Linked DNA regions of Astyanax mexicanus. The protein of the gene in region 1 interacts with the protein of each later gene in a pairwise test. Links are inferred from orthologs where the notes say so. Each region holds a gene or a part of one and is shown on either strand. Other genes may lie near its edges. The genes, in order: lmna and vamp4.

Region 1 (7,685 bases):
ACCCAACAACAATGAGTTTTGTTAAAAGAGTATGTGAAAATGCCCCCTCAACTGCCCTATAAAAAGGTTCCAAGAGGGTATTTTTGGGCAGTGTACCTCTTGGCGAGAGATAATTGGCTGCTAGATAATGGACTTCTTGCAGCCACTTATGCTACTGATGGCAGGGCCTTCAATTGGGATTTTCAAGAAGATAATGTTTGACCACATACAACCAGCGTTTCCCAGGAATACCTTTAAAAGATTGTAACACTTCCTTTGCCTGCCTGGCCATCAGATTTTGGAATTCATAAGACCAGCTGTGATGTTTGCTTCAATAAAAATGTGCAGGATCTACAGGCCCAGCTGCAACATATGCTGACAAATATGCCACAGTATGACATATGGAAAGTGTATGCCTCCATGCCCGAGTTTTTACTGAGCTTACTTGTACATCCTTTCCCAAAAATGTATAATGAAAGCTTTAAAAGGCCATACATGCTTTTACATGCTATTTTAGGTCAATTCAATCTGATATCTTCATGAATAATCAAAAAAATCTGCAGGCAAAAAAAAAAAAGAAAAAGATAAAAATAATAATGATGATGATGATGATGATGATGAAGATGATGATAATGATGATGACAGGCCTAGGCCGGCAGTGGGCAGTCCTAGTCTGGCAGTGGGCTACAGTCGGCCCTCTAATGTTAGGGAGTGTCTTCCCGGCAGGGCTGACTCATTGGAAAAGTATCATCAGAACACAAGCCCTCTGAGAACCATGCCTACCAGCAGCACAAACACACACACAAACGTCTCTGTTCTCCAGCAGTCACAGGACGGCTTTTCCTCCAGCCTCCCAGCACCCACTACATTCCTCTCTACAATGAGGACGATTCCCCTGAGGAAATCCTTCCCAAACCACTGCCTGCATAGTGTATTCTGGATGTGAGCTAGTAAGCAGCAAAACTTTCCTAAATATAACACATGCAACTGCCTAGATTTTACATTTATAACATAACTAACATAAGAGCTCAGATTTAAAACTAAAAATATCCAATGCTACAAGACCTAACAGGCATCATCATCATAATAATACAGTACAGTATAGTACAGTATAGGGCTGTAAGATTAATGATATTTTTTATGATTATTGCAGTACAAGTTTAAATTGTAATTTTATCACTTCATCCACAAGGTCATTCAACCCGTCCATGAGAGAGCAAGACAAATTGTTGTCTCATGGACTGCTAATTTCAAGCAGCGTGATAAAGGATTCAAACAGGTGATCCTCAGAAAAAACTTTGAGGAGCTTCAACAAATTTAGGATCTTAATTTGTCATGTTTCGACATTAATATCAGGTTATCCAGCAGCATTATAGTACATCACATTTCTGTAAGTACAGTCTTTTGCAAATTATGATGTAGAATCATTGCAATTACAGGAGCAGCCTGGAGGCTTTATCATCCCCATCTAAAACAACATAATTCAGTGCAGTAAAACACTGGATTTCAGTAGAAATACAACAAACATTGGATCTGTCTTCTTGTTATTTAAAAAAACATACATTTTTTTATATACACATTGTTTTGGTGTTATAAACAATATTGTAATTATGGTTTTTATCATATGATTTTGCATCATATAAGCTCTATTTGTCTAAAGCATTTTCTAAAAATGCACTCCTTATATCCATTATAGTTAAATAAAGTAAAATAAATTATACTGGACAGATATAATCTGTCTCTAGTAGATATATAATGGGACATGAGTAGTGTGAATTTTAAATTAGCTACAAACAGCAAAAAAAAGTTGTACCCTGATGACTTATACGACCATAAAATAAGATTACACTATTTCTGGATGCACTTTGGCAAGATTATTGCATATGGTACAATATGGCACACCACTAGTGCTGGATTACAACTTTTTTTTGCATTATCTCAATAAAACAACATAATTCAGTGCAGTTATAAGAATAAGAATAAGTCCTATGGTAAGTACTGAGTCTTGTGTTTATTATTTTAAAAATGTTACTTTTTAACTTACACAGACAGATGTTTACTAACTGAATATATAGCAAGATTTATTATTAAAAATGAAGGCTGATTTTTTTTTTTACATTACACGTTTTAGCAGATTTATCAGATAAATTATACCATATCGTACATTGCCATTGACATTTACTATCTAAAAGCATATCGAGATATGAGATTTTTTTTTATCATATTGCCCAGCCCTACTTCTTAACAGTTTCATAAATTAGCCCTAACCTACACAACACAGGTAAACACAGGTAAACACAGAGCAGCACAGAGACTCAGATTTACACACAGATTTGTACAAATGATTAGAGAATGAGTGAGGAGAGAAGGATGGACAATGCGAGTCTGGTTATATGGTTTATATATAAAGTTATATATAAAAGCAGTGTGTAAGACTGGTGGAGGAGAACATGCCAAGATGCATGAAATCTGAGATTAAAAAACAGAATATTTTTCACCAAATATTGATTTCTGAACTCTTAAAACTTTATAAATATGAAATGTCTTCTTTGCATTGTTTGAGGTCTGAAATCTCTGCATCTTTTTTGTTATTTCGGCTATTTCTCATGTTCTGCAATGCAATGCAAATGCTCTAAATGACAATATTTTTATTTGGAATTTGGGAGAAATGTTGTCCGTAGTTTATAGAAGCAAACAACAATGTTTATGTTGCTCAATCATATACCTATAAATAGAAAAGAAGGTGGTCTGTATATATGCTGTATATATGCTATTTCTCGGGAAGGGCGAGCTCACAGTTTTGTTGCAATAGCAAACGGCTGAGTCACGGACTGACTACACAAACATTTACACCAAAGAACTGCAGCGTTTCTGGAGGAACACAGCCTGAAACACAAAGGAGTTAACCCTTCATTAGAGAGTAGGAATGAGAGAAAGCAGTGACTCACGGGTTCTGTGTCTCTAAACGCTGAAAACTCTGACAGCGAGGAATCTGCTGCCTGCCTCATGCCTCTCTCTCCACAGCCCCTCCGTCTGACTGACTGACAGAGCCGGCAGCGCCCCGCAGCGGATCATTACAACAACTGCAGCTGAACAGAGCTGAGCTTAATATTAAGATTAAATGACAAATATGTATATGTATGCCTTAGGGGTGGGCGATATGGCTCTAAAATGATATTTTTGCGATAACGATATAGGAAAACTAAAATATGAGGAATATATAATAATATATAATATAATAGGAATATAGTATAATAGTATAACAGTATAATCATAATGTGGCAAAATAAATAATATAGCATAAAATAATATAATGCAGCAAATCATATTGCAGAATATTTAGTGCATGCATATAAACTGCAAACTAAAACAATTATACAATAAATACACCTAAAGCTTCACAGTAAATAATAGACTACTTTTAAGACAGAAGATCTCTATTATCACGATATGGATTTTTAATATCATGATATTTCTGTGTCACGATATATTGTATACGATATAATATTGCCCACCCCTATTATGCCTTACACCTAACGATTTTCAAACGATTTTTCAGTCGCAGACAAATTTCCAGAGTCGGAATAAAATCACGAGAGTCTGGCTAGAGTCGAGCTGCAGTCGAGTCGTGGTCGAGTCATCTCGACCGTTCAGTGTAAAAGGTGGTTACAACTAAAAGTTATAGTCAGTCGAGTTCGCGTCCCAGCGCTCCGATAAAGTCAACCGTATTTTATATTTTATATTTATTTTTTAACCGTGTTTAATATTACCGCAAGTCTTGAGACTCGGCTCGCGCAAATAGTGACGTGAACAATGTCAACAACCAATAGGAGAGCTACGGGAAGAGGCAAGAAATTATGTCACGTGACTGTTTAGAAACCAGTTAAAAAAGAACACATTTTGCAGTTAATAAGTCTTATATGGTTCCTACTTTAATATATACATTATTTTAAACACAGGTATCATTTCAAAGTAATAATATTAAAGATTTTTTTTATTTTGCACCAGTTTGTCTTATTGTGCAGTGTTATTTTCAATACAACCAAGTTTAATAAATACACGTTTTGCAAGAATTAATTTTTTCACATTTAAGCTGAGTGCGGAGTCTAAAATCTAAAATCGGGGAGTTAAGATACCTATTAAGGAAACATGCTAAGTTTCTCTTGACATCAGTACTTCAACCAGAATGTTTCTTTCATTATCTATTAATAAAACTAATTAGTAAAAAAAAAAAAAACACTATTCCACAGCAGTACAATCAAATGAATACTGCAGTAATTTAACCTCCACATTTACCCAATGAACACTCAGGAGTAAAGCATAATATATTTAAAACATATTTTGGATATTTTGCCAAAACTATTACAATTATACATCTTAACTCAAAGTAACTTAAAGACTAATATGTCATATTATGGAATAAAAGTAATATAATAATAGATAAGTCAAACTGCTATAATAAAAAAGTAGAATGCACTAATTGTGGGTTCTGTACCAATATCTTAATCAGCCGAAGTGTGGAGCTGATACATACTTATGTTTTTAAAACGTAAAGAATTAAAATGTTTTCATAAAAAAAAAAATTACACATTGATGTAGGTGGCGAGTTATGCATAATGCTGTGTCATATTCATGTTAAATCCGCATTATTTACTTTATCACTTTAATAAACCACATTATTATTTTAATATCAGTGACAACTCTATATCATTTAAAAGAACTTCATGTTAGCATGTCATTCTTAACAGGGTGACTCAAGGTGCTAATAACCATTTCTATCTGTGAGTAGAGCTCCAGATCAAGAAATACCAATTATTGCATAATGTTGCTTTAAGTACAATAAAAAAGTATATTCTCTAGGTCGTCCTCAGACGAGCCTTCCATCGTTTCTTCCAGTCATCCCGATTCCCCATACATCTTTTCAATTCACTGGTACTCTGGGCTTCTGCGTCCTTCTTGAGTACGTCCACATAGGTTAGTGTGGGACGTCCTCTTGAGCGGCTCCCATGTGTCGGTTCCCATAGCACCAGTTTGCTGGCTGGCAATTCCTGGTGCCTATGGCAGTGTCCTGCAAGTCTCATTCGCCTTACCGCAATTTTCTCGCTCACTCTTGGTATTTCCTCGTACAGGGTTTGGTTGGTTACATGTGCATCATTGCAGATGTTAAGTACTGCACGCAGCATCCTGGTGTAACACCCATCAAGGGACTTCTCCAGAGTTGGCTTAAGTGTCCAGCATTCGCTGCCATAGAGGAGAACAGACTCTACTGTTGCATAGAAGAAGCACAGTTTTATTTGACGAGGGAGACTGGAGTTCCATACACTGGCCATACCGTTCAGAGCCCTCCATGCAAGTGCCTTCCTTAATTTTAGGTCTTGCTCAGTTGAATTGACCCATGAGCCCAGGTACTTGAAGTCATCAACTTCATTCAGCACAGTGCCTCCTGCTGTAATCAGGGGCAGATGTTCAGGCGGGATGTTGTAGGTAATGACCTCAGTTTTCTTCGCGTTTAACCTGAGGCCAACCTTAGCGCACTCTAGTTCTACTCTGCTCAGTAGAATTTGTGCTTGCTCCACGTTGTCAGAGAGCAAACTGATGTCATCCGCAAAATCAAGGTCTGTGAGGACCACTGCGGGGTATCGACTTGACTTCCTTGGAGATAGTGTGAAGCCAAGTTCCTGTTCCCTCCCATTAATTGCCTTCCTGAGCGCATAATCGAGTACTATGATGAAGAGGAAGGGGGCCAATGTGTCCCCCTGCATAACTCCAGCCAGGATGTCAAATTCCTCGCTGTTGCCGTCTGGGGTCACCACCTTGGCCCTTGTTCCTGCATACATGGACTCTATTGCTCGGAGTAGATTTGGGGGAATACTGTATGCCTTGAGGATCTTCACCATCATGCCTCGGTGTATTGAGTCAAATGCCTTTTTGAAGTCCATAAAGCATAGTACTGCTGTCAGGTTGTTCTTTTTCACCTCCTCAATCATTCTCCTTAGTGCCAGGATCTGGGATGTAGTGGTGCGTCTCTCTCGAAACCCGTTCTGGTTCTTCCTCAGAAGAGGGTCAATTGCCTGCCGGACCCTGTTTAGGATCATACGGTTGTAAACTTTTGCAATAGTGCATGTCAGGCTGATGCCCCGATAGTTGTCCGGCTTCGATAGGTCTCCAGACTTAGGCACTGGCACGATGTTTGATAAAGACCACGTATCAGGCAGCCGATTGTGCAGCAGGGCAAGGTTGCAAAACTCTAAAATGATGTCATCCATGTCGCAGTTCCTCAGCACCTCTGGGGGTATACCATCCGGACCAGCACTCTTTCCTGCTTTTACGGTGGTTTTTGCCCTGGCAAGCTCTCCGAGTGTGAAGGGGCCGTCATTGATGTTAAGGTTTGGGAGGACTGATTGTACTTCTTCCTCAGTTGCTTCTGATGGTTCTCTTTTTTTATTCTAGCAATTTGACATTTATTATTATATTAATTTTATTATATAATAGGATGTAATTACAAAATACATGTTAAAGTACATTTTAGTACACTGAACTATTATTGACTATTATTATTGGAAAAAAAGGTGATTGTTTACAGAAAAGTTAAATATTAAATATTAATAACATTTATATTCAGACATTTCATATAGTTAGTGAATTCAGCTACTTTAATGCCAAGTGACAGCCAAACCAGTATAAAACCCTGTGGAACTGGGCTGTGGAAAAGTACAACTACATTCTTTGAAACAAATAACTTCATCTAATACCTTTGGGATGAGGTGGAGTAGTGTTTCTAATCATCTAAAATTAGAAACAAACTGTGTGACCTGTTTAATGCTCTTGCTGCTGCACTTAAATCCACACAGCAATGTTCCTACATCTACTGTATAGTCTTTCCAGAAGACTAGAGGCTTTTACTTCAGTAAAAGAAGCACAGCTTCCTATAAATAGCCTTGATTTCAGAGAAAACACTGGACAAGCAGTCCAAAAAGGGTATACATCAGGGAGTAGCATGCAAGCCCAGAGTGTACAATATGAGAATCACTGGACGTAGTGTGGAAAAACCCTCTCTAAAGCTTTGTTGGTGTAATTTAATCTATATCAGTATAAGATAAACAATATAAGTGCTTCTCCAGCACCTGTGGAGACTCTTTCCTACAATCTAAAGCCACTTTGTCAAACACTGTCCTGCTGAATTGTATCGTGAACAGCTGAGAACAACAGAGCAGCTCTGTTTAAACATCCTTCCACCTGCTCCATAGAAAATGAAGTGTATAATAACGACAGGTAACACAAGAGAAAGGCTGATAAACACACAATGTTTCATTTGCAGTGACAGGCGCTGGAATTATGTAACCAACCCTTTGACAAATAATTATATATACCATAGATTTCAGATTGTGCACCACACTATAATCCATTCAACGTTAGTGGAACAAAATTACAGATACAAATTTAGCAACAGCTTTCATGTGTGTGTGTGAAGTGCCTTCAATTCACCTGTGAACAATGGACAGGAAAGTCACTGCACAAACAGAGAGAGTGAGTCACACGTGAGCAACTAATTCACGTGCCCTTTCAAGGACTGTTTTAGTAAATGAGTAATGGGCAGTAAGAGACAGGCAAGGGAGAATATGGTAGTAAGGAGGTGAATGGAGATATGCTTATTAATAATGCAGATAAATACTGTAGGTACAGTACTATTTATTCATGATACAATA
Region 2 (8,062 bases), on another chromosome or scaffold:
CTTAATCATAATTATTTCTGAAAAAAATACTTGAAACAATGATGGACATATTTACTGGTTGGGAGGTATATTTATTTAGTTAATTTTTAATTCTTCACATTTTTTATGCAGTTTAAGCCATAGAGAAGTTCTTTCACTTTTCTCACTCTCTCTCTCTCTTTCCCACACAACCACAGACACAATCCAAATTTAGGATAGGGGTCTGATACCATTGAGTCACTGTCCTCTCTCTGAGACTGCTTTCTGCTTGATGTGCTGGAAAAGTAGTCGGAAAACAGGTTTTCTCCTGGCCACAAGCACGGCGGAACGATCCACAAATCAGCAGAGGAGGAGAAGAGGGGTTAGGGATAAGCAGCTCTAGCAAAAAAAAAAAAAGAGAGAGAGGAAAAAGGAAACAGAAAAAGGGGGAAAGACGGTTGGGATAAAGATAACGGGAAATATGAGAGAGACAGATAAAAAGAAAGCAGCAGGCAAGAATCCACAATGACCATAAACGTATGTAAAATTCATTTCAGTTGCCAGATCTGTCAAACAAGGGTGCCATTATAATTTTCCAATAGAATGAACGGAGAAAAAAACATTATTGGCATAAAATAGTAAACTGATGTACAAAACATGAATTGGTCATGTGGATTGGACATAAAATGTAAGTGGGACAGACAAACAGACGATGCAGAACCTTCTAAAGGGCAATCAGATAAACTCTGCTGACCCCCGCACTGCACACAGTAATCAGTTCACCCAACACTGAAAGCACTGCATTTGCAAATAACACTGAAATGGTGACACCAGTAGGGGTTCATCAATTGACACTATATGGACAAAAGTAATGGGACACCTGTTCATTAATTTTGTGCCTCCCTCAGGGTTTTTCAAAAAACAAAAAAAAGAACCACTGCTTTATTCTGGAGGCTATGTTTCCTTCTAGCCCACTCATGGTATTAGATATGGTGCCATTATGCCATTCATGTTTGTCTGCTGTAGAGATTTTTATTTTATTGGCAATACATTTTGCATGACAGAGACAACTTGTGTGTGTGTGTGTGTGTGTGTGTGTGTGTGTGTGTGTGTGTGTGTGTGTGTGTGTGTGTGTGTGTGTGTGTGTGTCCACAAACATTTGGACATATAGTGTACATATATCCAGGCCATAGTTGCATCATCTGTAAACGGTTTAGGCTGTAAATGTGCAATTATAAATGACATGAAACATCAATTATAACATTTAACTTGTAATATAAATCATAACATTCTTTTTTGTCTCTTTTCTTTACGAAAATGGCACACAATACAGTACTAGACTGCTTAGGTACAATGTAAGGTGAATATTTTTATGATACATAATATAGAATAGCAGTGAATTCTATATGCCTATAAATTGTTACTCCTTTAGACATATCCACATAACCAGTAACACAAAGACTTGGCTTGGGCAGTAGTTGTGTGCCACATCATATCGTATGCAATAATATCGCCAACATTTTTAAATATTGTGAACGATACTATACCCTGAAATATCGAGCCATCACCCACCCCTATTTATCACATCAGGGGACTACTTTCTTTGCTGTTTTTAGCAAAAGAAAAATTCACACTCTTCTCATTTACTATTATATCTCCCGACAGATTATATCTGTCCAGTATCATTTATTTTACTTTAATCCTTGAAATATTTTTTGTCAATCTTGTCATATCAACAAAAGTATTATCGCAAAAATACCATGAAATATTGTGATATTATTTTAGGGCCTTATTGCCCACCCCTTTTTGGGCCACAGTCATCTCATCAATCACAAAACCAAATCAGTACTAAACTCCAAAGAGGGTTTATTTTTGTTTGTCTGTTTTTATCAGACAGGGGATAGCATCAAGCAAGTGAAGCAAGTAAATATCTGCCTGATAAACACATCTGCATGAACTAGTCAGAACCAGAAGCATCCCCACAAGAGAGAATGGAGCTGAGAGCTGAGAATGTGTGCCATGACCCCCTTTACATTTCTAGAACTGCTAATCTAATCAGCCACTGAGTCATATGACTGAATAGGGAAACGACAACTAAGATGATGATGATGATTCAACCGGTCAGCTAAATAACCTGTTTTAAACGCAGCTTTCTGCATAAATACATCTGTCAGAGAATAAAACACAGAGATTTCAGTTAACGTTACATTAACATTAGGTTAGCTAGGGTTAGGTAGTTAAGCTCTCTCAGTATTTCTTCTCGAGCCTGGTCCTGGAGGTTCACTGTCCTGCACTGTTTAGCTAACAGTTACTGTTTTCCCTGCTACCAAAACACCTGATACAGATCATTAGCTTCTTAACATTTCATTATTGAGTTAAAGAATGTGGATTAAAGAAAGGAACTTACTAGACTAGGCCTTATGAACCAGGGTTGAGAAACACTGAGCTACGATAGCTAAGCTATTATCACACAATGTAACTGTTAGGTGCCAGTTAACTAACGTTAGCTAATCTAGCTAATGAGCTAAACCTAAGCAGAAACGCCGACTTTTACAAGACAAATGTAAAAAAAAAAAACTAAGACATGACAGCACCACGTCATATTTACACAGGACATTTCCATCTAAATTATCAGAAATAAATATTATCTAGCAGCACGAAGCTGCTACTGTTGTTAATATTAGCTTCCGAAGCCTCCTAGCTAACTAGCTTAGTTTAGCTTAGCCTAGCTAACGCTAGCTAAATGATTCTGCTAGCTGGTTAGCTGTGTGGCTAGCTGAGCCGGTCAGACTGTCTGGTTTAGACTAGCTAAACCAGTTAGCTAAACTGGATAAGTTACGTTAGATAGACAGTTATTTAGCTAGCGGGTTGTTAGTTAATAGCGTAACCGAGACAAGTAGCTAGCTAGCTTAGCTACACTAAAATATCAGGAGAACATCATGCAGTGATGAGACAGTGACACAGGCACTGCTGTCTTCTACACAGAGACACACAGGCCTCCACACACCTCAACAGACACAGATCCTCTTCTACCTGGGCTGTGCTGGTCCTGTGGGGTGCAGTGCTCTTCTGTACTGCAGCCACGACTCACACCACTGAGGATCTAAGGATCCTGGAAGTGGTCTGTGTGTGTGTCAGTGGAAGAGAAGAGAAGAGCCTCTCGGCAGCAGGGCTGTGAGGATGTGTATGTGTATATTGCAGTGATGTTCTCTTCTCTTCCGCTCCACCTCTGATGACCAGGAAGTCAAACAGCTGGGCTGTGATTTGGTTCACAATGCTGTAGTTATACATCAGGATTTTTGTGGTCTTTTAAAAAGAGTTAAAATATTATATTAAACTCCCCTCTGTAACAGCCCTCTGTAAAACAGTACAACTATTACAACTGTTAAATCATTATATTTATGTATACCCCCCAACAATATGTATGCATTGTGTACACTCAAGAGAATATGTTTATCATTTTTATATGAAATTTTATTTGATGTGTATTATGTTTTGTTTTCATTGATTGAAAAAAAAAACAATTTCCTCTTTCATACTGGAAATAAGGGTTAGATATTAGCACACATAAATATGTATACTCAAATTACAAGCAGAGGTGTCAAGTAATGAAGTACAACTTTTCACTTCTAATCCTTACTTTTTTAACAATTATCTGTAATTTCTACTTTTTTACATTTTTAAAAAAACCTTGTTTTAGTTTGTTTTCATTCTGTAAAAAACGAACCAGATAAATCTCCAGATAAATGTGATTATGAGTGATTATGATTGTGGTTGGTTAAGAAGTATAAACACATACCATTTCGACATCCTATTGGTCTATTCACAATCCACCTCACCTGCACACATCACGCCCAGACTCCAGCAAGAATCTAGCAGACTTGTGTAGCCTAGTATGATTCTTTAATATATTTATATTGTACCAAATTCATTCATTGAAATGGGCCTTTATGTGGCTGAAACAGGCAGCCTAGTGCATCCCCAAAGTTTCAACGTTAACATTTTAATGTAACATTACAGCCATTATGGCTTTAAAAAATTTGGGGGTACTATACTATAGGCTCCTGTGGCACATCCTCAGCTTTTGTCCTTAATGGCATTTTCCCCCGTAAATTATTTTTAAATAGTTTTGAAACCAGTACTTTTAAACTTTTACAAGAGTAAAAAGCTTGAGTTGATACTTTAACTTCTACAGAATTATTTTTAAACCCTAGTATCTATACTTCTACCAGAGTAATGCATGTGAATACCGGTGACACCGTTAATTACAAGGGATGGTTTGGTACTTGTGCTCTAACTAGAACACACAGACTTAATTGTTTGTAAAATAGACAGTTTACATAACTGTATTTAACCATTACAGGTTAGCATTCTACTAATTAGTACTGTATAATCAGCTGCTTTAAAGGGCTAAACATGTCAATTTCCAATTTTCAATCGTCCCAATGTGCGGCCTACATATTTGTAGGGCACTACTTTTGGGTTACACTATTTTGTAGTGGTGTATAAAATATTGTTATTATGTGTGTGATAAGGGCAGTGTTATGCAACAATCTGAACAATCTAGTGTTTCTTGGAAAGTCTGCAATGCACTCTTTAACCCAAGATTTGATTATTTATTATTAATTCATAATTACGGGTATTCCATGTCTGGTTCTGTACACTATATATCACAGTGCATTGTAAGATTGGTACAGTTAAAAACTTTGTTTTCAAACACCAGTACAAAATGGCAGAATCCCAAATTAGTGTACTATATAACAAATACAATTTAGAAACAGCTTATGGTTACATGATGCAATTCCTTCATATTTTTGTACGGACACCTTAATGTTTTCATGGGTTCCAGACACTGTTATAAAAATCACAATTAAAAAACTGTATATGGGCAGTATATTTGACAGTTGCTTTATACACTACCTGGTCAAATAAAGGTCACACACTATAAATACCACTTTTAGCTTTGACTATGGCATGCATTCACTGTGGCATCGTTTCCAAAAGCTTCTGAATCGTTACAAAAGTTATTTCAATGGAGTTCAAGCAGCCCGATCCATGTGTGAAAAGAATGTCTCTCGCTCACTGAACCCTGCACTCACTTTCACAATTTCACAAATGAATCAGGAGTCAGTATCAGGGATTCTGGGATGCCAGGAGAACTTAGGAGTTTGGCAGATGCCAGGAGAACAATACTTACCAGACTGCCTAGAGCCAACCAGAGTTTAGTGTACCAGGGATACTATTAATGGTCTTGGGGCTGCTGTTTTCCCTCTTAATTGCAGTGAAAGGTAATGTTTCACACATTTGTTTTTGTTTGTTTCCAATTTTCTACCTTCATATCGATCGCCCATAATTATTGAAATGGATGTCAAACAAGCTCATAAGGATGAAATACTTTAAATACAAAGAAAAAAAAGACAAATTGTTGTTTGTACCATTATATGTGTATCATATCTGTTCTTAGTGAAAAAAAAAATCTTATTAAATCATTTCATGAATACTATTAAAAAGCAATTCCGAGGTGCTGGACTAGGGCGCTGTCACTATGATTAGAGGATTGTCTGTTCAAATCTCAGATCATATCTTATGACATTAGGACACAAAGTGTCTTACTCTTCCAGGGTTTATGGTGTTTCCTCCTCAGATCTCATAGTGTAATGTTGGTCAGCACAGGTGTGTGTTAGCTGATGTATCAGAACTCGGGAACAGATAAGAACGCTGGTCTTATCTGGCTATCTAGTGATGCTGTATCAGCACCATTTTGAAACGAGGCGGTGAGTAACTTCATGAATCAGAGGAGGCATGTGCCTCTCTTAGTGTTGAGGGCATTACTGGTGATAGGTAGAGTTCATATTACCAGGGATAAGGTAATTGGCATTCCAAATTTGATAGAAAAATTGGAACATTTAGAAACAAAAAATAAATAAATAAATTTATTTCCACAAACATTTTTATTATCTATTATCTATGTTGAATAGTAACAAATACCACTGTTAAGATTCCAATTAATAAGTTGCAACATTTTGTAAAATTAAATCTGGTAAATCAATTGCTTCATTTTCTCAGTGGATGTCACGGGGGCAAAAGTTCTTCACCTTGTTACCTTGAACTACATATTTGTGATATACGAGCAGAACTTGGCTGGGACCATAGAAGAGCATCGCAGAGATAAAAATTCTCAAAGCAAACAGAAAAAAAGCCTTTAAAAAGATTTACACACATGAAACCACGTGAAATCAGAAACAAATAAACAAGAGAAACATAATGCAGCGGCTCTTCGGAGAAATAGTTTAGCGAGCGAGTCTGGAATATTTTCCACACACTGATGAGGATGATTGCTAAAGCAGAAAGCTCCTCCTGGGAGTGGGAAGTGCTTGGCTGAGTGAAAAGATGAGATTGTGTGTCCTCGAGAAAGCACTTGACGAAGCTCTGGAAAAGTTCAGTTTTATCACATGAAGATTAGTAATCATTTTTTAATAGTTTTTATCCTCTGTTGTGGTTTGTAGTAAATGTTTATGCTGTATGTAAGGATACTGCATATACACACATATACAGGTGTGTAGATGTTCCCATATGCATGTGTACAGCAGTGCTAAAGCTGTCAAAAATATGTTCTTTGCATAGCTGCCTTGGTCCATTTTGGTTGTTAACTTCAAAGTCTTGTTGAGAAGGGAAGATGGATGGACAAAGCTAGAAGAGTATAAATTACGGTGACCTTCAGCGTATACAGGATGAAGTGAGTTCCAGTCTTGTCAGTTGTGTCACCTGCTCAATCCTGGGAGACTACACTGAGAGAGATGCAAATAATGGAAAGACCTTTCTGTCTTCCTCTAAAATTCTCTACATTGACTCTAACTATGCATTAGAATGAATTGCACAGCTATGTTGTGCCTCGTATTGACTGATGAGGTATTCTGAAGATTCTGAACCCCTTCAGAGAAGTATTTGGCAAATCATGTCATGACAATGAGTTTTTAGGTATGAGTAAAAATAACACGTGTAGAACGTGTAGAGTCTTGAATATTTCCTCAGGTTACTCCTTCTTAATCTATTACTCTATTGCTTACTTAATAATTGTACAAGACCTTAATTTCTCACAGATTTCAGGTGTATTTGTAATACGTTTTGAGAGAACAGTAATTCATTTAGAACCCAGTCATTTACAACATATATAATAAAGCCTCTTCAAAGCATTGGTGCATTGGACGAACAGATACACACTCTGATCCAATAATAGTTGGACAGCTACATGTTTCTTTTGCACTGTTGACTCTGAAAACCACCTTTATGGGTTTACAAATTTAACTGTTAAGCTGTCATGGTGTGATTGAAAGTTAGAATTTTAGCATTAATTAAGATTCAAAAATGAATTAAACATACTCAAACTCGAACATACTTTACAATGTTAGAATTAAATATTTATGCTTAACTATTTATTGCTTAAAATAATGTTATATGCAGGATTTTTTATACATGGATGCAGAAAATGTGCAGTAATCCTACACAAAGTCAGGATCCCATGATATCAGCAAATGCTGAGAATCTTTTCTTGAGATGTTTTGTTCAGCGTTCACTACAGTCTCTTTTAGCATTTGCTTGTTTGTGTGTCTTGACCAGCATGCTCAGTCAAGTGACTGGATCAGCCATTGTGTTTCTTTGCTTTAGATCTGTTGCAGCTGCTTTTGCAATATGTTTTGGGTCATTATTCATTTACTATTTGAACTCGTTTACGTTTACTGGATGATTCCTTATGTGTTCCTTCATACTTTGGATGACTTCAGTATTTGTTTACAATGCAGGGAAATAATAAAACATTGAATGAGAAGGGGTGTTGAAACTTTTGACTGGTACAGTTTATATTTTTCTATTTGGTCTTAAAGATTCCACTGCCTCTCTATACATTCAGAAATCATAGTCTCCTGTTCACCTGTTAATGGTCTAATTACTCACTAATTAATCACTGTAAAAATCTCTGTAATTTCTAAATATTGTTTATCAAAATTTTAGAAACTTAATAAAATAAAAAATATGGAATGTATTGCATAAGTTGAATGGTGTTGAATTGTCCTTCCTTTCTGATGGTATAAGCAGACCTCCCAAGGCT

Evidence for each region.
Region 2: the proteins of lmna (region 1) and vamp4 interact in a two-hybrid assay, tested with the Homo sapiens proteins (2 studies listed by BioGRID and IntAct, with this or other methods). The link is inferred for Astyanax mexicanus from reciprocal best matches to the Homo sapiens genes LMNA and VAMP4.

Annotation. Positions count from the first base shown.
Region 1 is NC_064413.1:40,511,586-40,519,270, forward strand, and holds the start of lmna (lamin), read right to left. Parts: upstream 3,037-7,685; 5' UTR 2,928-3,036; intron 1-2,927.
Region 2 is NC_064408.1:62,580,873-62,588,934, reverse strand, and holds the start of vamp4 (vesicle-associated membrane protein 4), read right to left. Parts: upstream 3,187-8,062; 5' UTR 2,992-3,186; exon of another isoform or gene 2,966-2,991; intron 358-2,965; exon of another isoform or gene 287-357; 5' UTR 213-286; coding exon 210-212; intron 1-209. UniProt on the Homo sapiens protein: Involved in the pathway that functions to remove an inhibitor (probably synaptotagmin-4) of calcium-triggered exocytosis during the maturation of secretory granules.